Linked DNA regions of Cricetulus griseus. The protein of the gene in region 1 interacts with the protein of each later gene in a biochemical or structural test. Links are inferred from orthologs where the notes say so. Each region holds a gene or a part of one and is shown in the gene's direction. Other genes may lie near its edges. The genes, in order: Ep300, Fen1, Junb, Rela, Sirt2, Notch1 and Stat2.

The links.
Region 2: of the proteins of Ep300 (region 1) and Fen1, one has a biochemical effect on the other in vitro, tested with the Homo sapiens proteins (2 studies listed by BioGRID, with this or other methods). The link is inferred for Cricetulus griseus from reciprocal best matches to the Homo sapiens genes EP300 and FEN1.
Region 3: the proteins of Ep300 (region 1) and Junb form a complex in vitro, tested with the Homo sapiens proteins (2 studies listed by BioGRID, with this or other methods). The link is inferred for Cricetulus griseus from reciprocal best matches to the Homo sapiens genes EP300 and JUNB.
Region 4: the proteins of Ep300 (region 1) and Rela form a complex in vitro, tested with the Homo sapiens proteins (6 studies listed by BioGRID, with this or other methods). The link is inferred for Cricetulus griseus from reciprocal best matches to the Homo sapiens genes EP300 and RELA.
Region 5: of the proteins of Ep300 (region 1) and Sirt2, one has a biochemical effect on the other in vitro, tested with the Homo sapiens proteins (3 studies listed by BioGRID). The link is inferred for Cricetulus griseus from reciprocal best matches to the Homo sapiens genes EP300 and SIRT2.
Region 6: the proteins of Ep300 (region 1) and Notch1 form a complex in vitro, tested with the Homo sapiens proteins (2 studies listed by BioGRID, with this or other methods). The link is inferred for Cricetulus griseus from reciprocal best matches to the Homo sapiens genes EP300 and NOTCH1.
Region 7: the proteins of Ep300 (region 1) and Stat2 form a complex in vitro, tested with the Homo sapiens proteins (3 studies listed by BioGRID). The link is inferred for Cricetulus griseus from reciprocal best matches to the Homo sapiens genes EP300 and STAT2.

What each region holds. Positions count from the first base shown.
Region 1 is NC_048595.1:378,772,745-378,776,806, forward strand, and holds part of Ep300 (histone acetyltransferase p300), read left to right. Parts: intron 1-365; coding exon 366-794; intron 795-1,771; coding exon 1,772-1,951; intron 1,952-2,087; coding exon 2,088-2,232; intron 2,233-4,062. UniProt on the Homo sapiens protein: Functions as a histone acetyltransferase and regulates transcription via chromatin remodeling. Acetylates all four core histones in nucleosomes. Histone acetylation gives an epigenetic tag for transcriptional activation.
Region 2 is NC_048596.1:50,251,986-50,255,752, forward strand, and holds the end of Fen1 (flap endonuclease 1), read left to right. Parts: intron 1-1,016; 5' UTR 1,017-1,035; coding exon 1,036-2,178; 3' UTR 2,179-2,975; downstream 2,976-3,767. UniProt on the Homo sapiens protein: Structure-specific nuclease with 5'-flap endonuclease and 5'-3' exonuclease activities involved in DNA replication and repair.
Region 3 is NC_048596.1:159,386,007-159,390,221, forward strand, and holds Junb (transcription factor jun-B), read left to right. Parts: upstream 1-1,529; 5' UTR 1,530-1,828; coding exon 1,829-2,866; 3' UTR 2,867-3,366; downstream 3,367-4,215. UniProt on the Homo sapiens protein: Transcription factor involved in regulating gene activity following the primary growth factor response. Binds to the DNA sequence 5'-TGA[GC]TCA-3'.
Region 4 is NC_048596.1:53,704,198-53,708,259, reverse strand, and holds part of Rela (transcription factor p65), read left to right. Parts: coding exon 1-117; intron 118-910; coding exon 911-1,015; intron 1,016-1,194; coding exon 1,195-1,407; intron 1,408-4,062. UniProt on the Homo sapiens protein: NF-kappa-B is a pleiotropic transcription factor present in almost all cell types and is the endpoint of a series of signal transduction events that are initiated by a vast array of stimuli related to many biological processes such as inflammation, immunity, differentiation, cell growth, tumorigenesis and apoptosis.
Region 5 is NC_048602.1:7,082,061-7,085,513, reverse strand, and holds the end of Sirt2 (NAD-dependent protein deacetylase sirtuin-2), read left to right. Parts: intron 1-1,697; coding exon 1,698-1,768; intron 1,769-1,883; coding exon 1,884-1,950; intron 1,951-2,041; coding exon 2,042-2,197; 3' UTR 2,198-2,706; downstream 2,707-3,453. UniProt on the Homo sapiens protein: NAD-dependent protein deacetylase, which deacetylates internal lysines on histone and alpha-tubulin as well as many other proteins such as key transcription factors.
Region 6 is NC_048599.1:137,892,200-137,896,944, reverse strand, and holds the start of Notch1 (neurogenic locus notch homolog protein 1), read left to right. Parts: upstream 1-1,479; 5' UTR 1,480-1,731; coding exon 1,732-1,792; intron 1,793-3,373; coding exon 3,374-3,452; intron 3,453-4,745. UniProt on the Homo sapiens protein: Functions as a receptor for membrane-bound ligands Jagged-1 (JAG1), Jagged-2 (JAG2) and Delta-1 (DLL1) to regulate cell-fate determination.
Region 7 is NW_023276806.1:129,601,091-129,605,822, reverse strand, and holds the start of Stat2 (signal transducer and activator of transcription 2), read left to right. Parts: upstream 1-1,829; 5' UTR 1,830-1,995; intron 1,996-4,732. Other genes in the region: Apof (apolipoprotein F), read left to right, coding at 414-1,325. UniProt on the Homo sapiens protein: Signal transducer and activator of transcription that mediates signaling by type I interferons (IFN-alpha and IFN-beta).

The sequences.
Region 1 (4,062 bases):
AGAGTCTGGGGATTGTGCTCATGTTTCCAGGCCTAAATGGCAAATACTATTTCCTACTGATACTAGTGTGGCATCCAATGATGTTCAAAAATAGTTTATTTCTAACCCTGTATGATTTTTAAAGGTACCCTCCTTTTTTCTTTGAAAACTATGATTGTGTCCAGGGCTGCACACTTAATTTTGTTCCTGGAGACAGAGACAGGTGGATGGATATCTGTTAGATCAAGGCTAGCCAGGTCTATGTAGTGAGACCCTCATCTCAGAAATAAAGAAGTTTGCTACTGTTATTTATTAATAACTACTGTGTGCTCTAAATACTACATGACCTGCTTTTGTTAATACTGTATGTTTTTTCATTTTACCAGGCACAAATGTCCAGTTCTTCCTGTCCAGTGAACTCTCCTATAATGCCTCCAGGGTCTCAAGGGAGCCATATTCACTGTTCCACTCTGCCTCAACAAGCTCATCAGAATTCGCCTTCTCCTGTTCCTAGTCGTACCCCTACTCCTCATCATACTCCCCCAAGCATAGGGACTCAGCAACCACCAGCAACAGCAATTCCAGCTCCTGTTCCTACACCTCCTGCCATACCACCTGGACCACAGCCCCAAGCTCTACACCCCCCATCTAGACAGACACCAACACCACCAACACATCTTCCTTCCCAAGTACAACCTTCAATTCCTGCTGCTCCTGCTGACCAGTCCCAGCAACAGCCTCGATCACAGCAGAGCACTGCAGCTCCTGTTCCTACCCCAACAGCACCACTGTTGCCACCTCAGCCTTCAACTCCAGTACGTAAGCAGATGTGTCTTGGAGTGTCCATAGGACCAGTTAAGCTCCAGTGATGTTTCTATACCATTTTTTCTTTCACTTTTGTTTCATCTTTGCTTGTTTTATTCATAGACTTGGGTGTTTGTTGCCTGTTTTTGCTTCCTTTGGTAGAGAAAGCTAGAAGATTTTGGTTAATTTTCACTGACCATTCTGTTTCAAATGATTATCTGAGGCCTGAAAGCTATAAGAGTTTTATCAATGCTTAGTGTAACACATACACATGTACTTGTTTAAAGATATTTTGAGGCAGAGGCAGTGAGATCTCTGAGTTTGGGGCCAGCATGGTCTAGAAAGCAAGTTCCATGGCAGCCAGAGTTATTACACAAAGAAACCCTGTCTCAAAAAACAAAGCAAGGAAAGAAGGGGGGCAGGGGTGAAACAGCTTAAGTTGCAGTGCTGAAAAATGAAAGTAAAGACCTATGTGGGGTACATCGATTTTACACACACACACACACACACACACACACACACACACACACACACGAGAGAGAGAGAGAGAGAGAGAGAGAGAGAGAGAGAGAGAGAGAGAGAGAGAACAAACTATAGGAGTTAGTTCTCTTCTGCCATTTAAATACCAGGGATCAAACTCGGTTGTCAGACTTGATAGCAGGTGCCTTTATGAATGAGCTATTACATAGTCCCTGATGTCATTTTTTTAATATTCTGAGCCTCTCTGATATAGTCAACTTTAGAACATCCACCCCTAAACACATAACAAAAAAGCTGGTAACTGTTTCAAGTAAAGCTAGCCAGCTAGCATTGGGAAGTCCCATATCATCCATTCTTAAAATGATCTTTGTGAGAGAAAACATAATAATAAAATGGGTTCAGTGAGAGTGCCCCAAATATAAATAGCCTTGTGTAATTTAAATTTAAATTCTGATTCCATGATTGGCAAGCTTTTGTGTATGTGTATGCTTTACCTTTTTCTCTCCAGCTTTCTCAGCCAACTGTAAGCATTGAAGGCCAGGTATCAAACCCTCCATCTACTAGTAGCACAGAAGTGAATTCTCAGACCATTCCCGAGAAGCAACCTTCACAGGAAGTAAAAATGGAGGTTAAAATGGAGGTGGATCAACCTGAACTAGCAGATGCTCAACCTGAAGATACTCAGGAGGTGAGACTAGAGCAATTAGGTTCTGCTATAAAAGGAAATTCATGTATGTCCATAATGGAGCGTAAATAAGGTGATAATGGTCTTGTTCCCAGGTGTAAGTCTTTGAATTTTTTAAAATTCCTGTCTTATATTTTAGGCTAAAGCTGAAGATGTTAAAGTGGAACCTACAGAAACAGAGGACAGAGGCACTGAGTTAAAACCTGAAACAAAAGAGGAGGAAGACCAGCCAAGTACCTCTGCTACGCAGTCCTCCCCAGCTCCTGGACAGTCAAAGAAGAAGAGTAAGTGAAGGCTGGGAAGATCATTCATTTGGTAAAATGCTTGCCCCATAAACAATAAACATCTGGATTTGTTTCCTAGCACTTGTATATATATCCCAATGCTTAGAAGGCAGAGGGAAATGAATCTCTGAATTCAAGGACAGCCTTGTGTACTACATAGCAAATTCCAGACAAGGCTGAGGTAGACAGTGAGACCTTGGGCATTTTGGCACACCTATAATCCAACCACTGGAAAAGTTAGAGGCAGGGGGATCACTGGAGCTTGCTGCCTAGTAAGTTGAGATCTTGGAAGGACATAGGGTTCTAGCAGAGGATAACAGAGAGTGGAGAGGGTCAAGAGTGCTGAACCGAGACTGAAGAGATGACTCAGGTTTAATTTCACGCACCCACATGGCAGCTGACAGCTGCCATAGTATACGACACCATCACACAGACATACATGGAGACCAAACACCAATGCACAAGAAATAAAAAAAATTATAAACAAAACAGTATTTAAAACTGTTCTTATAGAGGATCCAAATTCACTGACCAGCAGCCATATGGCAGCTTATAACCACCTGTAACTCTAGTTCCAGGGACCAAACACACTCTTCAATCTTCCTCAGGCTCCAGCACACACACACATTTTACATAATTTTAGGTAATAATACTAACACATCATACTAACACATAAGATGAAGTATCAAAAAATGTTTTGTTTTGGTTTTTTTGGGTTTTTTTTGTTTTTTTTTTTAAAAAAAGGTCATTGACCTCTGAACAAAAATACCCACCCAAGGTTGATCCTTGGTTTACAAACACAGGCTCATGCATGTATGTGCACACACATACACGTATACACATACACCAGCCGTGCTGGAAAGATAAGTGATAAGTCCTATAAATTGTCCTTTGTCCTCCATAAAATGCCTTGGCATATGGGCATTTGTACACAAATGCACAAAAGATAAATAAAAATGTAACTTAAAAATTTTGGTTAGGGGCTGGAGAGATGGCTCAAAGGTTAAGAGCACCGACTGCTTTTCCAAAGGTCCTGAGTTCAATTCCCAGCAACCACATGGTGCCATCCTCTATGAGATCTGGTGCCCTCTTCTGGTGTGCAGATATACATGGAAGCATAATGTTGTTAAATAAAATCTTTTAAAAAAATAAAAATAAAAATTATGGTCAGGTGGTGGTGGCTAGAACCTTTAGTCCCAGCACTCCCGGAGGCACATGTGGATCTCTGTGAGTTCGAGCCTGGTCTACAGAGCGAGTGCTAGGCTCCAAAGCTCTACAGAGAAACCCTGTCTTGAAAAACCCAAGGAGAGAGGGGTGGGGTAGATCAGGTCTCAATTCTAAATTGTTAAATATTGGTGTCATTAATAGAGCCCTGCCTTTGGTGATTGGTTTAGATTTCATTGTATGGTTCTACTTATTTCTCAACAGGGACTTACTATGTAGCTTAGACTGTCCTTGAGATCTCTCTGTATCCCAGCCTTACCTCAAAGACCTTCGTTCTTCATCCTGCCTAGTGCTGGTAGTGTAGTCACGCCTACCACAGCAGCTCATAGAGGACATTTTCAGTTGTGTTGAACACCTCTCTTACACTAACATCTTTTGGATGGTTACTTTGATAAGTTTCTTCTGTGTTCTTAGGAGTCTGATTCTGTTTCTATTTGGTCAAGTTTGTTCTCAATAAATCTGCAGCTGGAAAAGTAACATAGCTAGCAAGAATAGTGACAGCTCTGTTGTTTAGCCGGCAGTGCTTAATGCAAAGTGGGAATTAAAATCAGAAAGTGAGCCCTTTGTCAGGTTTCTCTGAGGATAATGTCACTTTTGTGTGTGTTC
Region 2 (3,767 bases), on another chromosome or scaffold:
ACAGAGAAATCTTGTCTCAAAACAAAAAAATTGTTAAAAGCCAGGTGCACGTCTTTAATCCCAGCACGTGGGAGGTAGAGGCAGGTAGATCTCTGAGTTCAAGGTCAGCCTGGTTTACAGAACTCAGTCCACAAAGAAACCCTCTCTCAACACCCCCACCCCACTTTCCAGCAAAGGCATTTGCCATAACACAACTAGTCCTTCTCCCCCCTTCTTTTATTTTATTTTCTTTAAAGTCCATTTAAATAAAAATATTCAGTGAAGGAAAATTCTATTTCAGTTGGAAGGGGCAAAAGTTGTGAGTGTAATTTTGGAAACACTGTCCGAGGAGCAATTTGATCCTTGAAGTCTTGAACGACAGAATTACAGTATTGGGCTGTGTGATTTCAGCTTGCCAGCCCTTAATTCAAGACCTGTGGTGGCATCATGAGGTTCATGTTTCAGAATTAGTGGTGGGGAGGACGTACAAAGGATTTAAACCTCCTCCAGCATCCTGCTAAAAACAAACTCTTAGGTGCTGAAGTGGGGAGGGATAGCAGTGTGTGAGATGGTCACCTGACCCTCATTCAGAAGCGTGTCCTTCAGGGCTGCTACATCAGTTAGATAACTGTAGAGCACAGTAAGTCATACATAGCCAACTTTGCGTAGCTGGTATTTCCAGGCTCTCGAGGGCTCACTTCTGCCTTTATGGTCTCAGGCTCCTTCAAGCCAAGCCAAGCATTCTTGTTTTCTATGGTCCTGATGCAGTTGAAAGTTGAAGTCATTCTTTGTGTGACAAATTGTACCGTTGTGTTGTTCTTAGGAGGCCTGCTCGTTAATTGGGTGCGCTGTAGATGTCTTGAGAATGATGGATGTATGTGTTCACCTTTGCATCTTCTTCTGCTTTGCCGACTTGGAGTCCTGTTGTTTTCATGTTAAATTTGATTAAACATGAAGTTAAACTGGCGATTGCTGCCAGTTAGAGCCTTTGTTCCTTTTGCCCTCCATGACCCACGTTTTTCTTGTCTTTGTTTTAGCCATCGCTCCTGTGTTACCATGGGAATTCAAGGCCTTGCCAAACTAATTGCCGATGTGGCTCCCAGTGCCATCCGAGAGAATGACATCAAGAGCTACTTCGGTCGCAAGGTGGCCATTGATGCCTCCATGAGCATCTACCAGTTCCTGATTGCTGTTCGCCAGGGTGGGGATGTGCTGCAGAATGAGGAGGGGGAGACCACCAGCCACCTGATGGGCATGTTCTACCGCACCATCCGCATGATGGAGAATGGCATCAAGCCTGTGTATGTCTTTGACGGCAAGCCACCACAGCTGAAGTCAGGCGAGCTGGCCAAACGCAGTGAGAGGCGAGCTGAAGCTGAAAAGCAGCTGCAGCAGGCTCAGGAGGCGGGGGTAGAGGAGGAGGTGGAGAAGTTCACAAAGCGGCTGGTGAAGGTCACCAAGCAACACAATGATGAGTGCAAACACCTGCTGAGTCTCATGGGCATCCCGTACCTTGACGCACCCAGTGAGGCAGAGGCCAGCTGCGCTGCCCTGGTGAAGGCTGGCAAAGTTTATGCCGCAGCCACCGAGGACATGGACTGCCTCACTTTTGGCAGCCCTGTACTAATGCGACATCTGACTGCCAGTGAGGCCAAGAAGCTGCCCATCCAAGAGTTCCACCTGAGCCGCGTCCTGCAGGAGCTGGGTCTGAACCAGGAGCAGTTTGTAGATCTCTGCATCCTGCTGGGTAGTGACTACTGTGAGAGTATCCGGGGCATCGGGCCCAAGCGGGCTGTGGACCTCATCCAGAAGCATAAGAGCATCGAGGAGATCGTGCGGCGGCTGGATCCCAACAAGTACCCTGTTCCAGAAAACTGGCTCCACAAGGAAGCTCAGCAGCTCTTCCTGGAGCCTGAGGTGCTGGACCCAGAGTCTGTGGAGCTGAAGTGGAGCGAGCCAAATGAAGAAGAGTTGGTCAAATTCATGTGTGGTGAAAAGCAGTTTTCTGAGGAGAGAATTCGTAGTGGGGTCAAGCGGCTGAGTAAGAGCCGCCAGGGCAGCACCCAGGGCCGCCTAGATGATTTCTTCAAAGTGACTGGCTCACTCTCCTCGGCTAAGCGTAAGGAGCCAGAACCCAAGGGGCCTGCTAAGAAGAAAGCAAAGACTGGGGGAGCTGGGAAGTTCAAAAGGGGGAAATAAAACGTGTCCTCCCCCTCCATTGTCCCCTGACCCCAGAATGTTTGCTTTGTGCCCTCAGCTAGAACACTCCTCTTGTGGAAGAGCCTGCTCCGTCCCAGAACTGCCCTTCAGAGCCTTGCCTTTCATACTTGGTCTTGTGGCAGGAAGGCCACAGCTTTGCTTTTCCTCATTTTTAGCTCAGGAATGATGTCAAACCACTTCTCAGGCAGGTTAATGGACACTGCATCCATTGTTGTGTGAAACTGAAAGCAACACATTATAAAAGGAGGAGGAGATAAAGATGGCTTGGGGTGGGAGTGTGGGGAGATAATTTCCTGGCTGGTCAGCTGGTGAATGGGAGTTGACAGTAGACCTTGACTGCTCTTTCTGATTTCTCTAACCTGAAAGACAGCCATCAGCCCAGGCTTTGCTGATGGAAGACCTGCAAAGAAAAGGGGCGAGCAGAGGAGGTTGGCTGACAATGGCTCTAATTCCTGACTGGCTGTCTTGTGGACACAGCAAGTTTAGGTTTCTGGTGAGTCTACAGTAACTTCAGAGCAGTGAAAAAGCAGTGTTTTAGGTTTTGAATTGTAGTTTTGTTTTTGTCCCATTCCCCTCTCCAGTGCTGGGAATTGAACCCAGGGCAAAGCAAGCAAGCATACCACTGACCTGTAGCCCCAAGAGACACTGTTCCAATGGCCTTTCTGAGGCAATCAATTGAATTGAGGTTTTGAGAGAAGCTGTTGTTCCTGTGCTGTTTCTGTTTTAAAAGATGCGAAGAGAAAAAAAAATCAATAAAAGTACAAAAGTGACCAGAATGTGGTGTTCTTTGAGGATATTTGAAAACACCCTTAGTGCTTCCGGTTCCTGTAGAATATAATGATCTTTTGCCACTAAAATTAGATGACAGGCTGGGATTGCCCTGGTTAACAAGTAGTTTGTTTAATAAGAGTGACCACAAAGTGGCGCCATACACCATGTAATGTGGGCACAGCAGCTGTGGTTGGCACCAGCCCTTTGCACTTCAGGAGTTTGAATGCCTAGACTGGATTTCTCTTGTTCCACCTAGTCTGTGAGGTAAAGGAGTCCATTTGGACAGTCTTGTAATTTAGATAAACTTTGTCATAACATCCAGGCAGTTTGTTTTGCCACTTGGTGAACAGATGCCATTTAGAAACCTTGCTCCTATTGAGATTTCAGGTTCTCAGGATGACTGCAAGTTTTAGAGTACTGGTGCATTAGGTTTCTCTTGAGGAACCAAGTAGATAGAATGAGTTCTATATATTGAAAGGGGTTCATTAGAGGAGCTTACAGGCTGTGTCCAGTTAGTCTAACAATGGGTGTCTGGTAAAAAGGCCAAGAATTTAGTAGTTGAGTCCACAAGGGATGTTTCAGCTGGTCTTCAGTCTACATGAAGGCTCACAAAGAAGCAGGTTCTAATACTAGAGAAGGAATGCCTCAGGGACACTGAGGGTGTACAGGCAAAAAACAGAAGCTTCCCTCCACATCCTTTTGTGTGGGCTGTCACTGGATTGTGTTGGGCTTCCTCAAATCCTCCACACAGGTGAGCCCAGCTGCTTGGGTTTTAGTTGATTCCAAATGTGGTCAAG
Region 3 (4,215 bases), on another chromosome or scaffold:
GGGCTGGGCCAGGCCGCCGGGAGGCCCTCGGGGATGGCAGTCGAGGCTGGTCCGGACTAGCCGTCTGGGGGGCCCGGGCGCGCCCTGGGACCTGGCTTGCCACCCTGAGTTCCTGGCTCCTAGTTCTCCGCCCCAAGACTGTACTGGTCCCACCTCTTCCTGTGCCCTAATATGGATGCTGGGGAGAAATTGAGGGGGGTTGCCCCGCCCCGAATCCAATTCGCGGACTCCGGCCTGTTGCCTTGGTGATGAGGCCCGGTTCTCAGGCTGCATCTCCCCCCCCCAGGGTCAATGGAACAGTCCTCGGGCTGCCAGGCTTAGTAGTCGTCGGAGGCTGCAGGCTGAACCATTACTAGATGGGTGAGAGCAGAGAGTGACTCGAGGCGTTTGTAGCTGGGCTGTGACTTCCTCGGGGGTCGCTTGCCCCGGTTCCTCTTCCCAGGAGCAGAATTTGGCAGGGCCCAGGGCAGGGTGCACCGTCCTGTAGGCTCAGAATGACGAGACAGGGCCGGGCTCTTTTCCCCTCGGGGCTGTTGCCACACTTCCTGCCTCGGCTCTCTTTCCCTAGTCTGTTTCTAAGGAAGGGAGTGAGGTTGGGCGACCGCGCCCCAGCTATCCTGCCCCGTCGGCTCTCCAAGAGCTGACAGGGTATCGGGTGAGCCCAGAGTGACTAAGGGAGGACTTTGGGCTTGGAGTACAGGGTATGCAGGTGCCTAAGGACCACCCACGAGGTACAGCCCCATTCGTACAGGTCCCTTGTCTCTGGGATCATCCTCCCCAGCAGATCTCAAAGCTCGGAAGCTGTGCCCTGACCTTTCTAACTCTACATCCGAATTCTTCAGGTGGCCACAGTGACATGTTCCCATCCTCCACCTCTTGTATTACCTCAGTGCACCCAGGACCCTTTCTCACCTTTGCATATCTACGTCGCCCTCCCCGCATTTCCTTCTCATTTCCGCCTATAGGAGAACCCTCAGACTCATCAACGGCCTCTAGAACCCTACTGTTCTTGCACAACAGGCGCCCCTTCCTCCAACCTGTGACAATTCCAGTCTTTCAAGCCCTTTGTATCTGGGACCTCCAGTCAATCCCCGGGTCAAATGTTAACAGATCCCTCCCGATCCTCCCTTTCCTGCTTGCTTGGGGTCTTCTAGCATATTGTCAGTTCTCAGCTACAGGCACTCTGGGTCTCTCGAGACTTCTCCGGCTTATCCCGCGGCGCCCCCTTCCCTGCTTGCTGTGCCAAGCTCTCATAGTCACCGAGGTGTACTCCCGCAGTCCTAACCCGTGTGCCTCAGCCCCTCCACATCCCTTTGCTTCGGCGTCTCCATCGCTGCAGCCCCTCCCCCTGCAGCCGCGCAGAGCCACCCGGCTCGTGGCCGCTGTTTACAAGGACACGCGCTTCCTGACAGTGACGCGAGCCGCCTCCTCCCCTTCCCCACGCTCTAGGAGGGGGCCGCGGGGGCCCGGTTCCCGCGTTGGCCAATCAGAGCGCACTTCCGCAGCTGACAAACTCGGTATAAAAGCTTGGGGCTGGGGCAGCGCGGTGGGGACCTTGAGGGTGGCCGGGCCGGTTTTGGATCCTGCAGGCAGCGGGGAACTGAAGGAAGCGACGCCGAGAAAGCGGGCGCACCACAGAGGCAGAGACGAGGTCTGGAAGCCCGGCAACGCTTTTACGCACAGCTGCCAACCGGCCGCCGCCGGCGGTCTCCAGTTCCCGAGGACGCGCGACCGGACACCGGGTCCCGCCGCAGCCGAGGACAGCTCGCCGCTCGCAGCAGCGAGGCCTGGGGCGGCCCTTCAGGGGGACCTTTCCCAGACCGCCCGGATGTGCACGAAAATGGAACAGCCTTTCTATCACGACGACTCATACGCAGCGGCGGGATACGGTCGGACCCCTGGCAGCCTGTCTCTCCACGACTACAAACTCCTGAAACCCACCTTGGCACTCAACCTGACGGATCCCTACCGGGGTCTCAAGGGCCCGGGAGCGCGCGGCCCGGGCCCAGAGGGCAGCGGGGCAGCAGGCAGCTACTTTTCGGGTCAGGGATCAGACACAGGCGCGTCTCTGAAGCTCGCCTCCACGGAACTGGAGCGTTTGATCGTCCCCAACAGCAACGGCGTGATCACGACGACGCCCACGCCTCCGGGACAGTACTTTTACCCCCGTGGGGGTGGCAGCAGTGGAGGCACAGGGGGCGGCGTCACCGAGGAGCAGGAGGGCTTCGCGGACGGCTTTGTCAAAGCCCTGGACGACCTGCACAAGATGAACCACGTGACGCCCCCCAACGTGTCCCTGGGCGCCAGCGGGGGTCCCCAGGCCGGGCCAGGGGGCGTCTACGCAGGTCCAGAGCCGCCCCCCGTCTATACCAACCTCAGCAGTTACTCCCCAGCCTCCGCACCCTCTGGGGGCGCCGGGGCCGCCGTCGGGACTGGGAGCTCGTACCCGACGGCCACCATCAGCTACCTCCCACACGCACCACCCTTTGCGGGCGGCCACCCGGCACAGCTGGGCTTGGGTCGCGGCGCCTCCGCCTTTAAGGAGGAACCGCAGACCGTACCAGAGGCACGCAGCCGCGACGCCACCCCGCCGGTGTCCCCTATCAACATGGAAGACCAGGAGCGCATCAAAGTGGAGCGAAAGCGGCTGCGGAACAGGCTGGCGGCCACCAAATGCCGGAAGCGGAAGCTGGAGCGCATCGCGCGCCTGGAGGACAAGGTGAAGACGCTCAAGGCTGAGAATGCGGGGCTGTCGAGTACTGCCGGCCTTCTCCGGGAGCAAGTGGCCCAGCTCAAGCAGAAGGTCATGACCCACGTCAGCAACGGCTGCCAGCTGCTGCTGGGGGTCAAAGGACACGCCTTCTGAGCGCCTCCCTCGCTCGCCCCGCACGGACACCCCGGCCGGGAAGGCTGGACGCCCGCCCCCCCCTGGGGTGAGGGGGGCGGGCGATGGGCACCGGCCCGGAGGTCTGGAGCGCCGCGCACACACTGGACTCTGGCTCGCTCGCCTGCGCCCAGTCCTTCCACCTCGACGTTTACATGGCCCCCCCTTCCAGCGTATTTTGTATGTTTTTTTTTTTTTTCTGGGAAGAGACCGGATTCATATTGAATATAATATATTTGTGTATTTAACAGGGAGGGAGAAGGGGGCTACGCTATCGCGGCGGAGCTGGCCCCGCCGCCTGGTACTCAGCCTGCCGGGACACTAGGGAGGGACCTCCGCCCCCTGCCCTCCCCCTCTGCACAGGACTGTGGAGAAGAAACACGCACTTCGTGTCTAGAGTCTATTTTAAGATGTGTTTGTGTGTGTGTGTGTGTTTGACTTTTTATTGAATCTATTTAAGTAAAAAAAATTGTCTTTATTAATTTCTGTGGTCTTTTTTTTTCTTCCAAGCCGGGCGGGTGGAGGGAGAAGAACGGGATGCCCCCAGTCGTCCGCTTTCGTAGCTCCCTCCTTTCAGGTGACTTAAGGTCCAGTGCAAGCACGCAGACCTCTCACGCCGCGCCCCGGCACCCGACGCGGGGCAGGCGGGCCACAGCCGGGAAGAAGCCGCCCGGGACCAAACGCGGAATGTGTAAGCAGCCCCGCCCAGCCCAGCGCGTCGGGGCTTTCCCCGCTGACGCGCCGGAAGCGATGCCCATATATGGGCCTATTCTGCTCAGTGACGCCAGCACGGTCTCCGGGCAGATTCCGGGAATCCCCTCCCCCAGCTCTGCCCGGCAGGGCCGCGGCGCCGGGAAGGGGCCGGGATTTTCCCGGGCGGGCGGCTCTCGGGGCGCGGAAAGCCCCAGGCCTGGGTCCAGGGTGCCCGCGGCGGGAGACTTACGCTCTCCTGGGCCCTGGGAGCCACCCGAGCGTCTCTCAACAGGCTGGCGCCGGAGACCCGCCGCGCCCACGCCCCCTCCATGGGACCTGACCCTGGCGGAGCCCAACTGCGGCCTCGGCGGGGCGGGCGGCGGAGTGCAGACGCCGCCGTCGGGGCAACTCCCGCCAGGAAGGGCGGCGCCCGCCTGCCAGGGTCCCCTCCCGTGTGCCAGGCCAGAAGTTGGCGACTGCCAGGTCTGGTCCTGTCGGGGCAGTTGTTTGGGCCGCTGGGCGCCGCCGCAGCCTTTCGTGCCTGCCGGGCCGCTCCCCAAAGGCTGAGACTGAAGTTCAAAGCTGCTGGAGCTGGGGGGGACCTCGCTGGTCCTGAAGCTGGAGGACCCCATCGCGAA
Region 4 (4,062 bases), on another chromosome or scaffold:
AGCGTGGGGACTATGACCTGAATGCAGTGCGCCTCTGCTTCCAGGTGACGGTGCGGGACCCATCAGGCAGGCCCCTCCGCCTGACTCCTGTCCTCTCTCATCCTATTTTTGATAACCGTGAGTGGCCGCCTCTAGTAAGGGGAAAGGGAGGGTCTGGAAGAGAAAGGGGGCTGGAGTGGGTGTGACCTGTGAAGAGTGCTCTGGTTCCCTTTAGTCCTCCAGTTATGCTGGCAGGGGACAGGGCAGAAAGGACCCAGAGCTGCCCTCAATTGGAAGCTTCCAGGATGCCCAGCAGCCTGATGGGAAGTGGCTGTTTTCCATATCTTGTGTAGAGATGCTGGTCTGCCAGGAACTGTGCTCATGACTTTAGGAAGCAAACTCCCAGGAACCAGATAATGCTAGGCAGTGATAATTCCACAGTAGCAGCTCACAGGAAGCTCTCAGATGACCTGGGCTGACACTGATGGATTAGTAAGCAGCAGGGCAATTGAAAATAAAAGGCCTTTGGAGCCCCAAGGACCGGAAACCAGGATTAACTGGGAGTGAGGAGGGAAAGACTCATTGCCAAGGGTAGAGATGAACCAAAAGCTGAAAATGTGTTTGATCAGGCAGAGGGAGACAAGGTGTCAGATTGTTTCCTTTGGGCTGTAAGGTCTGTGAGGACAGGAATACGTTGGGCTCTTTGTTGCTCTGCTGCCTTTTCTAGAGCCATGCTCCACACACACAGCAGGAGGTGTTTTTGAATTGGTTGAGGTGAAGAGCAGATGGGATTAGTCTGCAGAAGTGTTGTCAGCAAGCTGTGGAAGGAAGACCTTGACATGGGACTTGCCAGGCATCGCTGTTACATCTCCTGTCGGGTGCCCTGGAGACCTGTGGTGGCTCAGGGTTTCCATCCATGTCACATCCTCAGGTGCACCCAACACTGCTGAGCTCAAGATCTGCCGAGTAAACCGGAACTCCGGGAGCTGCCTTGGTGGGGATGAGATCTTCTTGCTGTGTGACAAAGTGCAGAAAGGTACACACTGGGCTATGTGTGCCACGAGGGGCGGGGTGAGGCTGAGAGGGTGATGAGTGCCAGGGACCTCAGTGGCTTCAGGAGAAACAGGGTGACGTCTCAGGGGAAAAGCATCAGGAGTTGGGGACCAAGGTCCATTGGAATTCAGATACTAACCCTTACTACTCTGTCTCCTGCAGAAGACATCGAGGTGTATTTCACTGGACCAGGCTGGGAAGCACGAGGCTCCTTTTCTCAAGCTGATGTGCACCGGCAAGTGGCTATTGTGTTCCGGACTCCTCCATACGCTGACCCCAGCCTGCAGGCTCCTGTGCGTGTCTCCATGCAGCTTCGGCGGCCTTCTGATCGGGAGCTCAGTGAGCCCATGGAGTTCCAGTACCTGCCAGACACAGGTGTGATGCTAGGGAGAGCAGTACCAAGGCTTCTGTACCCCAGCTGGGAAAAAGACCAGGATGTCTGGGACAAGCACATAGGATTTATACATACTGTAGTTCATTGCACATAGTATTTCTGTCAAAGACCACATATGCCATGGTGGTCATATAACACTGCGCTATCTAGCTGGGCAGTGGTGGCTCACCCTTAATCCCAGCTCTCAGAAGGCAGAGGGAAATGAATCTATGAGTTCGAGCCCAGCCTGGTCTATAGAGCTAGCTCCAGAATAGCCAAGGCTACACAGAGAAACTCTGACCTGGGGGAGGGGGGTGAGGAACTACACTGTCTAATGACATAGGTGTCTTAGTTTGTGTAAGTAATCTTTGAGATGCTCATATAAACAAAGAGAGAGAGAGAGAGAGAGAGAGAGAGAGAGAGAGAGAGAGAGAGAAAGAAAACCAGGGCTGGAGAGGTGTCTCAGAGGTTAAGGGCACTCTTTGCTCTTCCAGAGGTCCTGAGTTCAATTCCCAGCACCCACACACATGGTTGCTCACAATCATCTATAGTTGGATCTGGTGCCCTCTTCTGGCATAGGTCCTATGTGCAGATATAGCACTCATATTCATAAAATAAATCTTTAAATTTCAAGAAAAATAAAAAAAAAGGTAAAACCAGCACCTGGGAGGCAGAGGCTAGCAGATGGATCTCTGTGAGTTCTAGGCCAGCCTGGTCTACAAAGTGAGTGCCAGGATAGGCTCCAAAGCTACACAGAGAAACACTGTCTTGAAAAACAAAACAAACCAAACAAAAAAGATGAAAAAGATGCTCATATAATAAGCTGGGTACTCCAGCAAACGTGTGTAGCTAGCGTGCAGATGGTGTGGAAATAGACGGACCTCTAGAGCTATTTGGCCAGCCAGCCTTGCTCCAGATTCAGTGAGAGGTACTGTCTCAAAAAATGAAGTGGGCTGGACATGGCAGTGCACACCTTTAATCCCAGCACTTGGGAGGCAAAGACAGGCAGATCTCTGTGAGTTCAAGGCCAGCCTGGTCTACCTTACAAGTTCCAGACCAGCCAGGGCTATATAGTGAGATCGTATCTCAAATAATTAAGGTGGATGGGGCTGGAAAGATGGCTCAGTGGTTAAGAGCACTTGCTGTTCTTCCAGAGAACCCAGGCTTCATTCCCAGCACCCTGTCTAGTTCCACGGGATCTGACACTATTCTGAACTCTGCAGGCACTGGGCATGTACAAGGTGCTCACACATATAAGCAGGCATTGAGCCTTGGCTTTGACATACTCATACACACATCTGTACACACATGCATGCACATTCATACACCTACATGAACACACACACACAGACACACACACAGAGGTAATAATAAAATGGATATTCATCCAATGACAAATTTGCCTAGCAACATGTCTTAAGATGTGTCCCCATTGTTTTTTTTTTTTGAGGGGGGTGTTTGAGACAGGGTTTCTCTGTGGCTTTGGAGGCTGTCCTGGAACTAGCACTTGTAGACTAGGCTGGTCTCGAACTCAGAGATCCACCTGCCTCTGCCTCCTGAGTGCTGGGATTAGAGGCGTGCGCCACCGCCACCACCACCACTGCCAGGCTGTGCCCCCATTGTCAAGCAACATATAATTATAGTCATAATCTATTTCTTCCCTAACTCTGACATCCAACTTATTCAGCTCTGTCTACTGTATCTACCCTTCCTATGAGTGGTCCTTTTAACCTCTCATCGCCTTTTTTGTTTTTGTTTTTGTTTTTTTTTTTTTTTTTTTTTTTGGTTTTTTGAGACAGTGTTTCTGCTCTGAAGACCAGGCTGGCCTCACAGAGATCCGCCTGCCTCTGCCTCCTGAGTGCTGGGATTAAAGGCCTGTGCCACCAATGCCTGGCGTATCATCACCTTTTTAGGGGAATGATTTAACAGAATTCACTAGCAGTAGAGGCAGTGGCACACCTAAACCAAGGTCACTTAGCTTTGTGGACTTTGTGCCACCTTGTGTCTCTTATCACTTTTGGGGGACCAAAATAGTTCCATTATAGAATGTTTTGAGGTCCAGCCTCTGGTTTCACGGAAAGCTCCGGCCCACTATTGTATTGCTAATGCTAGCAGGTCTGCTATTGTTTACAATAGCCTTAGTATAGAATGCCTCCTAGTTTGCATCTCTATGGGCCTAAGCATCTGAATAGGCCTGCATCTGGGCCTAGGTGCTAGGTGTAAGGTACAAGTGAGGACAGACAGGAGCCATCCGACCAGAGAGGAGAACAGAAGGACAGCAGTGGTCTCCTCGTGGCCATGGAAGCATGGTTAAGAAACAGCCAAAAAGATGGTAAATAGAGAAGAGACTCCAGTTTTACAACATGGAACTGAGAGCTCTCTAAAGATGACAAGATGCCTGTGTTTGGTCTTTATCGAGGCTGGGTTGCTAGGAGTTTCCAGGTCCACACATCCCCACTCAGGCCGAACCTCATGGCTTAAGGCTGAGACATGCCAGGTCACCACAGTCACTAATCCTATAACCCAGCTTCATTTTGCTCAAGGATTAGTGCTATACATAACAAAACAAATGAGACAGGAGCTGGAGAGATGGTTCAGTGGTTAAGAGTACTGCTTTTCCAGTGGACCCAAGTTTAATTTTCAGCACCTAAATGGAA
Region 5 (3,453 bases), on another chromosome or scaffold:
CCCCTCCAGGGGAGGCCTTAGTCCTGGGCTGGAGAGAATATACACCAGGAAGGGGTGTTGCCTGCCTGTGACACAGGTGCCAGGAGACACAGTCACTTCATGTGCCACAGCTTTTTGTTATAGTTTGTTTTTCTGTTTTGTTTTTTCAAGACAGGGTTTCTCTGTGTAGCCCTGGCTGTCCTGGAACTCACTCTGGAGACCAGGATGGCCTCGGCATTACCATTCTAGTACATGTCACATATCAAGAGCTAGAGAGCCTCAAGTCCCTCCCTCCTATGCAGTGGCCAATTGTTTGTATGGAGCCCACACATCCTCCTGATTTGCTAAGCGATGTCTGCCTGGTTTGTGGTGGGACACAGGGTTGAGCTCTGGCTCTCATGAAGCCTGTCCTCTCAAACTCACCATGTAATGACGGATGGCCTTGAACTCCTAGTCTTCCTGCCTCTGACTTCCAGATTCTAGCAGCTGGCTATGTTATTTAGTTGGGGGGAGCTTTTTGTTATTGTTTGTTTTTCTGTTTTGTTTTGTTTTTTTTCAAGACAGGGTTTCCCTGTGTAGCCCTGGCTGTCCTGGAACTCACTCTGGAGACCAGGATGGCCTCGGACTCAGAGATCCATCTGCCTCTGCCTCCCGAGTGCTGGGATTAAAGGTGTGCGCCACCACCACTGGCTTTGTTTTGTTCTTTCAAGACAGAGTTTCTCTGTGTTGGGCACTCGCTCTGTAGTCTAGGCTGGCCTCAAGCACAGAGATCCATCTGCCTCTGCCTCCCGAGTGCTGGGATTAAAGGTGTGTGCCACCACCAACCAGCAAATGTTTAGAAATTTGATATCACCATGTCCCACCTCAGCCAGCAACTGCTGACAATACAAAAAGAGAGGTGACCAGAGGTGACGTGTTTGGTGGATGGAAGGAAGGCTCTGGGAAAAAAAGCTCAAATCAAATGATAACACCCTCCAAAACAGATTCTGATTAAATGTATATGACAAATCTCAGTTGACAGGAAACACAGGGGACAAAAGAACACATGAAATCACACAAGAAGGCATGGTGGCATGTTTTTGCAATCCCATACTGGAGAGACAGATTGGTGGATCCCTGGGGCTCACTGGACAGCCAGTCTCACAAATTGCAAGTTCCAGGACAATTGAGAAACATTGTCTCAAAAGGAATATGCTTGAGCTGGGGATACAGCTCAGTGGCAGAGTGTTTGCCTAGTATACACAGAGACCTGGGTTCAAGCCTCTGCACTGCCAGAAAAAATAAATAAATAACAATGGTTTTGGACAGGAAAGATGGCTCAGTGGTTAAGAACACTTTCTGTTCTTCCAGAAACCTGAGTGCAGTTCCCAACACCCATGTCAGGTAGTCACAACTACCTCTAACTCCAGCTCCTGGGAACCTGATGCCCTCTTCTATCCTCTTTGAGCACCTACATACAAAGGGCACACATACAGAGACATACACACAACTACATACACTTAAGAAATAAAAATAAGCCGGGACGGTGGTGGCCCACACCTTTAATCCCAGCACTTGGAGGCAGAGGCAGGTGGATCTCTGTGAGTTTGAGGCCAGCCTGTTCTACAAGAGCTAATTCCAGGACAGTCAGGGCTACACAGAGAACCCTGTCTCAATAATAAATATTAGCCAGGTCTGGTGGCTGCAGGGCCATGCTCTTAGCTGTCCTCTCCCCACAGACAGATCCCTTCCTGGGCATGATGATGGGCTTGGGCGGTGGCATGGATTTTGACTCCAAGAAAGCTTACAGGTAAGGCCTGGGCTCTGGTGGTGGAGAGAGCTTGGGGAGAGCAGGCTGAGGTGGGAGAGAAGACAGAAGGCTGGTCAGGCCTCAGCCCATTCTCTAACTGCTGCTCACAATGCAGAGATGTGGCCTGGCTTGGTGACTGTGACCAAGGCTGCCTGGCCCTGGCTGACCTCCTCGGATGGAAGGTGAGGAACTGGGCCACCCCAGCCCACCCTGAGCCCAGCCCCATGAGGATGTATGGTAACCTCTGACTTCTGTGACCTTTGCCCCCTGCAGAAGGAGCTGGAAGACCTTGTCCGGCGGGAGCATGCCAGCATAGATGCCCAGTCAGGGTCACAGGCCCCTAACCCCAGCACTGCCACCTCCCCTAAGAAGTCCCCCCCTCCAGCCAAGGAGGCGGCCAGGACCAAAGAGAGAGAGGAGCACCAGTGACCACTACCTCCCAAGCAGGACAGTGGAGCCCAGCCAGCACTGGTCCCTCTAACATGGAGCTGGTGTGGGGCTCAGTAGATCCTTCATTCTCTTAACCGCTTTCTTGAAACCAGGGTCCCCAACTCAATCCCAGAAAGTTCTAATATACCTGAGGGCTGAGGCCTGTGCAGCCCACAGCCTCTAACCACCCAGGGCTAACTCCTAACTACTTCCAGAGATCAGGTTACCCCAAAACTCCTAACTGTGCCAGAGTGCTCTCAGGGGGTTGCTGTGGCTAAATCTAATTAACCTGCCCCAATGGGGGCTGAACTTCTCTAGTGAAATGTAACTTCACCCAGGGGGTGGGGCCTGTGGGATCCCTGAGCCTGAAGGCCTCCCAACTCTCGGCCTCCAACAGACAAAGTGGGTGCTGGCCTCCCTTTCCTAGGGTCCCACTTGCCAGCCAGTGGGGGATGAGCAGGAGACCTTGTTTATTGGAAACACATTAAAAAACAAAACAAAACAACTAACCATGAGCTGTGTGGTCTGTGCGGGTACCAGCAGCAGCTGTGGGGAGGGGAGGGGTCCGTAAAGACACCAGACCAACAGTCTGTGGCTCCAGGATCCTAGGATAGTGGAGGGGGCAGGGGCAAGAGGATGGCCCCTGAGGACGGTGGTCTGGTGACTTTTCACCTTGGCTTTTGGCCTGCCAGAGGTCCACTCCTCCAAAAGGGGAGCCCTTAGCTGATCCCCGGAAAGGGAGAGGAAGGTGATAGCAGACGCCCCCAGCCCCGCCTCTTCCCTTGCATGTCGGCTTCCTCTCTAGAGAACACTTTCGCTTCCTGCTTTGCAGACTCCCCTCGGAACAGGTAGGGCCCCCAGGGACCCAGCATCAGGCTTCTGCACCCACAGCAGCCTCCATGCCACCCTGGCCAGCACCACCCATGTCTGGATCTCCTCCCAAGGGTCCTGGAGGGGAGGAGCACCTGCCTTCCCCTCTCCACCCAGACATGTGCCTATCCTGCCCCCCTGACACTGAAGCCTCATGTCAGCGGCTAATTGATTTATATTACTTTTAATTATCTGGCTTGCACACAACACCCTAACAGAAGTGGAACCTTCTGGAAAGGGCTAGCCCACTTATCAGCCCTCCTCCCAGGCCAGTCACCTAATGCTGGGCCTATGCTGAATAATTCATGTGGACAGATGGGGGGTTGGGGAAAATATTCAAAAGGGCTCACCCTGAGCTGAGAATCCCTTATAAGGCTGCCTTCTTG
Region 6 (4,745 bases), on another chromosome or scaffold:
AACTCTGCACAGCTAGCCAGCCCTTCCTTCTATGGAAACTGCTCTCTGGGGCTGCAGATCTGTTATATAAATATTTCTGCAGCACTGGGCGCCTTTTCTTCTGGGTACTGGCCCCAGGCTGTTACACACACACCCACTTGATGCCAGCTTCTGAAAGGAGCAGGAGAGGGGGCTGGACAATGGGTCTGCATTGGCCCTCTTGAGTGCCCTCTAGAAACAGGTGTGTCAAGGGCAATGGGTAGGGCTGCAGGAGAAATGAGCACACTTCTGTATCCCTGGGCAAGGACTGCCTTCCAAATTCTGAATTCCCAAATTCCTTTGACTTTCCTGTCTCAGTATTCTCCTGCCAGGTTCCAGCAAGCATTTAAGGCCCCTTTATGCATTCCCCTGCTCTGAGAGCCTCCTTGGATAATATAAGCTGGGGCTGTATCCTGTGTTGCACTCACCATCCTGTTTAGGGATGGAGAGGTGCTGTCCATTCCAGATTCCATTGAACTTTGATTGCACAGGGACAAGGAAGGCATCTTGGACACCCAGAGCTAATCAGCTTGTCACAGGATGTCCAAGTCTAGCACCAAGGTGGAGAGATAACTGGTCAAAGAAAAGCACGTGAGAGAGGCTGTGCTGGTGTTAGCAGTTATTGTACTGGGATTCTGTACTTTCCCGGGTCACCTTAAATGGGCAGAGCCAGGAACCAGTGAAAAGAGTGACAATGGAGCGTCTAGACTCCTTCTGGGGAGCGAGAGCGCAATTTGTTCAGAAAGGCACTGGCCCTTTGGGGAGTTCCCTTGGGGAGCCCCGAGCTCCGTTCTGTAGAGGCTGCAGGCGCGAAGACATTATCCTTTAAGGTCAAGCGTTCCGGAAGTCGCGGCTAGGGGTGCCTGGCCTCAATCATCCAGATGCCTAAAGCCGAGACCAAAGGCTCCCAAAAGTGGGACCCCAGGGCCAGGGATGCACCCAACGTAGTCAGGGAGCAACTTCTAAAATCCTGCTCCGGGAGTTCCCCAAACTTGGCTTCAGCTGCTCCTAGCCCTGGGCCCAGACCTAGCTCCAGGATGGACCCGATTCTCGTGGCAGCTTCGCCTTTCCTACTCAGCCCAAATCTCTTCGGCTATTGAAATGCAAATCCTGGCCAAAAGGTCCCGAGGGAGGCGACACACAAAGCCTGATCCTTCCGCATCCCCAGCTCAAACTTTTGGTCTCTGTAAACTTTCGAACAAGAAGTAGTCCCTAAGTGCCTGTTCTCTACACCCCTGCATGTTTCCTTGTCTTGCAAACCACAGGGTCCTGGCTTGGGACGCTCTCTCTAGCCCGAGAAGGCGCAGAGCCCACCAGGGCGCTGGGAGGGACAGGGCCAACGAAGGGGCTTTGAGTGCTCAAAAACCGGGGGCGGAGCGCGGTGGGATGGGCGGGGCAGGGGCGGGCCCCCACGGGGGCGGAGCGCACGGCCGCCCTGAGCCTCACTAGTGCCTCGGCCGCGGGAGGGAGCGCAGGGGCGTGGGGCGCAGGGCGCGGGCGCTAGGCGCGGGTGCGAGCGCAGTGAAGGAACGACCCGGGGTGCCTCGTAGCGCTGGGGAGACCCTGAGAGCCCAGCGCCGCCCACCTGCCAGGAAGGAGAGGGCAGCAGTAGGTGGACGCCCGCGGGACCGCCGGTGGTGAGCGTAAACGTCCGATCCCCGCCGGCCACCGCAAGAGGCCGCCGCCCGGGCAGCGGGCAGCGGGCGAGCAGGCATGCCGCGGCTTCTGGCGCCCTTGCTCTGCCTAACGCTGCTGCCCGCGCTCGCCGCAAGAGGTAGGCGCCTGCGAGCCCGCAACTTCGCGCGCCCTTCGGAAACTTCGGCTGCGCCTTGCGCGCGCCCTGGGTGGATGGGAGTGAGGGCACCAGCTACCAAAGTTGGGAGAAGGAGCCGGCGGACGGGACTTGGGGGCCTGGCGTCCTCGCGTGTGAGGGAGATCCTTCTCCTCAGCCCCCCTTCCGGGTGGATTCGCTTTACCCAGAACGCCCGAAAATGTTGGAAGCTCGGTGTGGAGCTTGGGACTTCGGGGCCCCGGGAGGCTCAACCCTGGCTCGCACTTGGGCAGCCGCGCCTGGGGCTCGCCGCGGGGGCGGACAGGCTGCCTGCGCCTGCTACTTTTCGATTTGAATCGAATCGGTTTTGGTTTCCTGTTGCTTCTTGGGACTATTATTTTCTTTCTTCTTCGCCTCTGGTCTGTGCTTGGGCGGATGTTGGGGCTCTGTGTTCGCCTTGCTTAGCGCGAGGTGGGGGCGATGTGCCCTGGACTCCCAGTGCCCAGTTTCGGGATCGCTGTCCCCTAGCGGTACTCAAACTTTCAAAGAGGGGCTATGGGCAGGCGGCTTGCTGCTTAGGGTTGGGGTGGGACTCACTCACTTTGGAAGTTTGAGACTCCTGCTCAGGCAGAGACTGGAACCTGCGGGGAGGGCCGGGGGGCCGGGGGGCCGGGGGGCCGGGGGACCGCCTATTTCCTTGCAGGATTCACAGAAAGGGGGACTCCTGAGGAGTCTCGTAGTGACCAACTGCACCCGTCTCCCAGTAATTGGAGGGGAGAAGTGCCTGCCCTTCTCTTAAAAGTGGGTTTTATGTGACACTCCAGCTCGGCCCTCACACCAGGGCTTAATTTCTGGAGCTCCTTAAGATGGGGGTGGGAGGGGCTTGATTAAGAGCCCTTTCCTGAGAAGAGGGTAGAATTCCTTCCAAGTGCGGGCTCTAAGACCCCCTCCCTGGGTGCGGCGGGGGCTGCCCCTGGAGATGCCTGCGAACAGGTATTGGGTGTCGGAGGAGGCGGGGCAGGTCTCCGGGTGCGGCCCCGCTGCCCCAGGAGGCGGCCCTGGCGCGACAATGGGCCGCTCTGATTCCCGGGCCGGCGCTTTGTTGGAGGGCGGGGTGGCGGGCTCCGCAGCTGTCGCTTTTTCCCACGATCGGGGGAGCTGAGTGTGGCCGCCCCCTCCCTCCTGCAGCCCCCTCGTATCTTGTGTTTGAACTGAGGCAAGGGTGGGAGACTGATCGGGGGCTTTGCTGGGTTTCTTAATCCACACCCACTTTTGGCTGTGTATGTAAGAAGTTTAGAATGTCCCAAGTCATTCAGTTCTTTCTGTTGCGGTCCACTTCTAGTGAGTGGGGATGTACACCTGCCTCCTACCCAGCTTATTATCCCTCTTCCACCCATTTCTGACTGCAACAGTGCGAGCAGAACATTGATCCCCGAAGGGCTGCCCATTGTCACCACCCCCGCCTGGCGACTTCCAGTAACTCTAGTACACAAGCACCAAGGCAGTAGTCTTCATCCACCATCAGGACCACAAGGAGTCAGCTGCTCAGAACCCAGACTGACCTCTCTTCTGACCCTTCCCTAGGCTTGAGATGCTCCCAGCCAAGTGGGACCTGCCTGAATGGAGGGAGGTGCGAAGTGGCCAACGGCACCGAAGCCTGTGTGTGAGTACCGCCCCCGAGGGGACCTGTTGCTTTTGTCAGAGCAGAGCCCCTGCCTTCTGGGGACAGAACACTGGGCCATTGTCTTCAGAAGACAGCCCAGAGGCTGAGTGCAGTCACGTGCTGACTTTTATTGGACAAAGTCTGGCAATTACTTAATCACCAGCAATTATGCCTCGTGTGGAGCTACTCTGGCCCCTGGAGGTTGGCACACTCCTCCATGGGCCCCCTCAGGCTCCTGGGAATCCATGGTACCCTAATTCTTATTTAAAATGCTTGAGAAACCGTTGTCTTTGATGGGCAGTCTGGAGCACTTACTGAGAGTTTGAGCCCCACCCCCTGACACCTGGGAGCCCTCTTCTGGGCAGGAGACCAATAAGCAGGAAGTTGCCCCTTTTTTGTTGTTTTGTTTGTTTGTTTCTAGTTTTTGCTTTCTTGGGACAGGGTCTCACTATGTGACTCTGGCAGCCCTGGCATTCACTATGCAGAGACCTTTGACTCAAGAGATCTGCCTGTCTCTGCCTTCCAAGTGGGAATGCCACCACTAGCTGGTGGGAAGTGTCTGTTTTAAGATGAGACCCACCCCTCCTTTCTCCTTGGGTTCAAGGTGAGGTTGGGAGAGTTGGAACGGTGCTTGTTGGCACTGCTGCCTGGGTGGTGGGTGTGGGTAAGCACTGGAGTCTGGTTTCTCTCTTGGCAGCTGCAGCACCACCTCCCGACTCTATGCCAGAGGTCCTCAGCCTCAGGTCCTCAGCTGTGAAATGGGCGTGACTTGGGGGGGTGGGAAGGTCTGTTCCTTGCTGGGAAATCCTTTTGGGAAGGATCCCTGCCTGGCTGCCCACAAAGACCAGTCAGCCAGGAGAAGTCTCCACTGGGGCTGGAGCTAGGGCTAGGGCTAGGGCTAGTGCCCTTCAACTTGAGCTCCTCCCTGATGAGACTAGCAAGGTGCTGGAGGCTAAGGCCTCCCCTGGAAGCTGCCGACAGAAACGGCTCCAGCCTGCATGGCGCGCCCTCATTCCAACTGCTGAAGGGCCCATCCCCTTGACAACGGGTGCTGCTGCCTACAGTACCCAGCCTGTGGGCCGCAGCCCCACCTCCCTGGCCGGCCCGCCCTGTACTGAAGCCAATTAAGCAGGTCTGTGAGCAGTTTATTGGACAAAGCCGATTGTGCCTCTGTCAGACACTAATGAATGCACACTACTTTTTTTTTTTTGCTTTTTTTGGGGGGCCCCTTTCTCCCCCTGCAGAAGCCTCACGGACGCTTGATGCCCTAAATCTTATTTCCTTCCATTCAGA
Region 7 (4,732 bases), on another chromosome or scaffold:
GGACTGATGGGCCTGTTCTAGCCCTCAGTCCTAGCACTTCCACTGCAGTGGCCTCAAATATCTCCTCTCCATAGGACAGAGAACTGGGTAGAACAGGAGGAGCTGACAAACCTACCCAAGAGGTCTTATTTCTCCATGACTGCACTGTATGGTAATCTGGGTCTCCTATGAATGGGTGGGAACAAAACAGGGAGGTTCCTGTGACCTAGAAATGACAGAGACTAAGGAGAAATTGAATTGCATTTCCCATATCCTACTCCTTTACTAAAAAAAAAAAAAAAAAAAAAAAAAAGGTTGGAGGTAGGTGGTGGTGGTGTCCCCTGAATCTTGGGCCTCCTTTAAGACTATAGCCTTCAGTGAAATGGTTTGCATGTTTTGGGGTTTTCCTTTTTCCAGGGTGCTCTGCTCCAGACATGCACAGCCTGCGACTCCTGATGATGGCAGTTCAGCTGCTCTGCTGCCTCCTGCTGTGTCCTGTGGATGCCGTTTCACACAGAGAGCCAACAAGTCCCTCTGCGATGCTCCCTCCCTTGGCGTTGGGATACCAGTTGCCCTCCTCAGACCCCTTGTCCTGCCAGGTCCTGCTCCCAAAGTCCCTGCCTGGCTTCACTCACATGCCCCCTCTCCCCAAGTTCCTGGTAGGCCTGGCTCTGAGGAACGCTCTGGAGGAAGCTGGCTGCCAGGCTGATGTCTGGGCTCTGCAGCGGCAGCTTTACCGACTGGGAGGTGTGGAGGCTACACAGGCCCTCATCCACCATCTCCAAGAGCTCCAGAAAGGTGGACTTGAGGACCAGCAAGTGTCGGTAGACGCCTTATCTTCTGCTCTGCAGCTCTTAGCCTGGGAGCAGCCAGGTCCAAAGAGGGTCCCACGCTCTCTTTCTAACGCAGCCTGTGACAATGAGCGGGAGCAGAGTGTGCACAGTGTGGTTGGGCTGCTGCCGGCAGTGGGGACCTACTACAATCTAGGCACAGCATTGTACTATGCCATTCAGAACTGCTCCGACAAGGCCAAGGAGCGAGGCAAAGAGGGAGCCTTAGATCTGGGTTATGACCTTTTGATGGCCATGGTGGGTGTGTCAGGGGGGCCGGCTGGTGTGGTGATAAGTGCTACTCTTAAGCCAGCATTGAAGGCTGGGGTTCAGCAGCTGATCCGATATTATTATGACGAGAAAGAGGTGAGCCTCTCTCTGCCGGAGACCGTGCAGGAAGACCGTGACTTCGAAGAAACAACCATGACTACTTTGGTGTCAGAAGTTGAAAGTACATTTTCCTACTGGGACCAAGCCTTGGAACAGGACTACAGTATCTGGGCATACAAGAGGTAGTAACAAACAACAAATAAATGGAAAATTCTGACAGAGAAGGAGTAGTATAGATGGATGGATGGGTTTGGGGTATTGTCATCACTTGCCAGTCATTTCTTGAAACTCAGTTTTTTATGTTTCTAATGAGGGAGTAGTGAGTTTTCACCTGAACAAGTGGTTATGGAAATTAAAAACTGATAACACGATCCTATGGTATTTATCATTATGTCCTCAAAAATATGTGCCTCGGCTCTTCCCTCCCTACCTAAAGTATCGAAATGCAAGTCCCACCCCTTCTGCGGAGTCCTTGGTGCCTCTGCACGCTCTGGTTTCGTTTCCTTTTCCTGGGAGTGCAGGTTCGGGAAAGTCAGCTGCTTGAATTCTTGGGTATGACATTAGTTGGGTTCCGCCCCTCTGGGAGCCTCTTCGCCAAACACGGAGCTCGGCGGTGTGGTTTCCAGCAGCTCGCCCAGCCCGGTGGTGGGCGGGGCCAGGACTCCGCCAATGAGGGCGTGACGTGGGAAGGGCGTGGGCGAGCCTCAGCCAGAGCCCGGAACGGCGAATCCGTAGGGCCCGGTGATCACGGTCTGGGTCCGCCGAAGTCAGGGGCGGGGTGGGGTTCTTGAGCCGCCCGGAGGAGTGGAAGTTGCCGCGGGAGCCACTGGGAGGAGCGGCACCGGAGCCTCAGAAGGTACAGGCCCGGAGAGCGTGTGCGGAGCAGGGAGGCGTGAGTTCGATCTCGGGAAGGGCCACTGCCCCCGGGATGCCCCTGTCCGGGATGTCACACCCTCGCTTTGCTTTTACTTTTCAGCCCTGTCGACCTTCTTCCAAAACTCCTCCGCAAACCCTGAAGCCTGGCATGCAGCATTTGACCCTTGTCATAAGCCAAAGCGTTATCTGTCTATCATCTGTTTGTTATTTAATTTGTAAGCATGCTTTGTCTGTGTGCCACATCCGTGCAGTGCTTGTGTTGGTCAGAAGAGGTCGTCAGATCTGGGACTGGAATGCTGGTCATAAATTGCCATGTGGGAGCTGGGAATCGAACCCAGTGGGGTCGTCTGGAACAGCAGCCAGAGCTCTCACCCGCTGAGCTGTGTTCCCAGCCCCTTTGCATAATATTTTATCCTTACCAAAATAAATAAATAAATGAAAACACGGACATCCTTATTTGTTATGTATGTATATATGCATATATACATACAATCAAATATATATATCAAATATATATACAAATATAAACTGTAAAGTCCTGGGAGATGAAACTGCTTGCTTAAGGTTACACACACAGTCTAGTTTATTTCAGAAAATTTTATTTAGTGTAAAATTGAGAGGGTGAAGCTAGAGAAAGCACTTTGCAGCTCCCATAACCGCAGTACAGTCCACTTAGGAAGACTTGTTTGTTTTGAGGCAGGGTTTAGCCCTGCCTGTCCTGGAACTTGCTGTGCAGACCGGGCTGGGCCTCTGCTTCCCCAGTGCTGGGATTCAAGGTGTGCACCACCACAGCCAGCAACTTTTTTTTTCTCTTATGTTTGGTTTCTTATTTAAATCTCAGAATTTACTTGTTCCCTTGCTTGGATACTAGTCCTTTAATTCCTGAAGAACTGGGATCTTGTCTTTAAAATGATGTTTGTTTGTTTGTTTTTTGAAGCAGGGTTGGTTTCTCTGTGTAGCTCTGGAGCCTGTCCTGGAACTAGCTCTTTTAGACCAGGCTGGTCTCAAACTCATAGAGATCCACCTGCCTCTGCCTCCCAAGTGCTGGGATTAAAGACTTGTGCAACCACCGCACAGCAATGTTTTTGTTTCTTAAAAGCAATACAGGCGTGGTGGTGGTGGTGCACACCTTTGACCCCAGCACTCTTGACACCTTTAACACCCAGACAAGTGGATCTCTGAGTTCAAGGCCAGCCTGGCTACAGAGTGAGTTCCAGAACAGCCAGAACTACACAGAGAAACCCTGTCTGGAATAAATAAATAAATAAATAAATAAATAAATAAAAGAGTCAAATACCTGTCTGATGTTGTAGTTATGTAGTTCAGCTAGAGCATTCACAGAGCACAAGAGAGGTCCTCTGTTTGATCTCCAGCAAGGGGCGGTCAAGGATTATTATTAGAAAGCTAAAATGAAAAATTGGCTCTTGGTGGGTGGAGAGACAGCTAAGTGGCTAAGAGAGCTCATTGCTCTTGCAGAGGACTGGGGTTCAGTTCTGAGCACCCAAACTGGGAGACTCACAACATCCTGAAAGTCAAACTCCACAAGCTCTTATGTTTTAAATTAACCCATTTATATTCCTTTACTTACTGCCGTGCAGTTCATGTGTTGTTACCTCATTTTGTACACGTCCTGTTTCCTCTGCATCTGGCTGGCGACTCCTAAGACTCTTCCCTTCTTTCCAGCATTCTCCTAGTGTGGCTCTCCTGCCCAGCTATAGGCCAGTCAGCTCTTTATTAACCATTGAGGGTAATACATATTCACAGTGTACAAAAACTGATTGATCCACAGGCTGGAGAGATGGCTCAGTGGTCAAGAGCACTGACTGTTCTTCCAAGAGGTCCTGAGTTCAATTCCCAGCAACCACATGGTGGCTCACAACCACCTTGAATGAGATCTGGTGCCCTCTGCTGGCATGAAGGCAGAAGACATAATAAATAAATAAAACCTTTAAAACAAAACAACAACAACAAATGATCCACAGCAGCCCTGCCTGACCTAAATTCACTATGTAGCTGAGCCTGCCCTTAATGCTCCTGCCTCCAACTGCTAAGTGCTGGTATTACAGGCATGTGCCACCAGGCTCAGGTCTTGAAAGTTACTAGTAAACAAAAAGTACTACATATGACAACTATTTAATAGTATTCCCTGGAAAAACTAAAGTAAACTGTAATAAGAACTATCTTTAGAGAGAAAGGACAGAAACCAAAACCGAGAATAGAAGCAATGTAATCTGTATCTTGTTTTTTTTTTTTTTTTTTTTTTTTTTTTTTCAAGACAGGGTTTCTCTGTGTAACAGCCCTAGCTGTCCTGGCACTCACTCTGTAGACCAGGCTGGCCTCTAACTCAGAGAAATCTGCCAGTCTCTGCCTCCCAAGTGCTGGGACTAAAGGTGTACACCACCACAGCCCGGCTATTTTCTGTGTCTTTTAAAGATTCTTTTTATGTTTTTGAGTTTTGTGTATATGTATGTAGGCATACCACCTAAGTGCCTGATATTCTCAGAAGTCTAAAGAGGGCATCCATCCAATCGATCCCCTAGGAATGGAATTTAGCGCCACGTGGGTGTTAAGAATCAAAAACTCCTCCTCTAAAAGAGCAACAAGTGCTCTTAAACACTGAGCCAAGACGGGCGTTGGTGGCCCACGCCTTTAATCCCAGCACTCGGGAGGCAGAGGCAGGCAGATCTCTGTGAGTTCGAGACCAGCCTGGTCTAAAG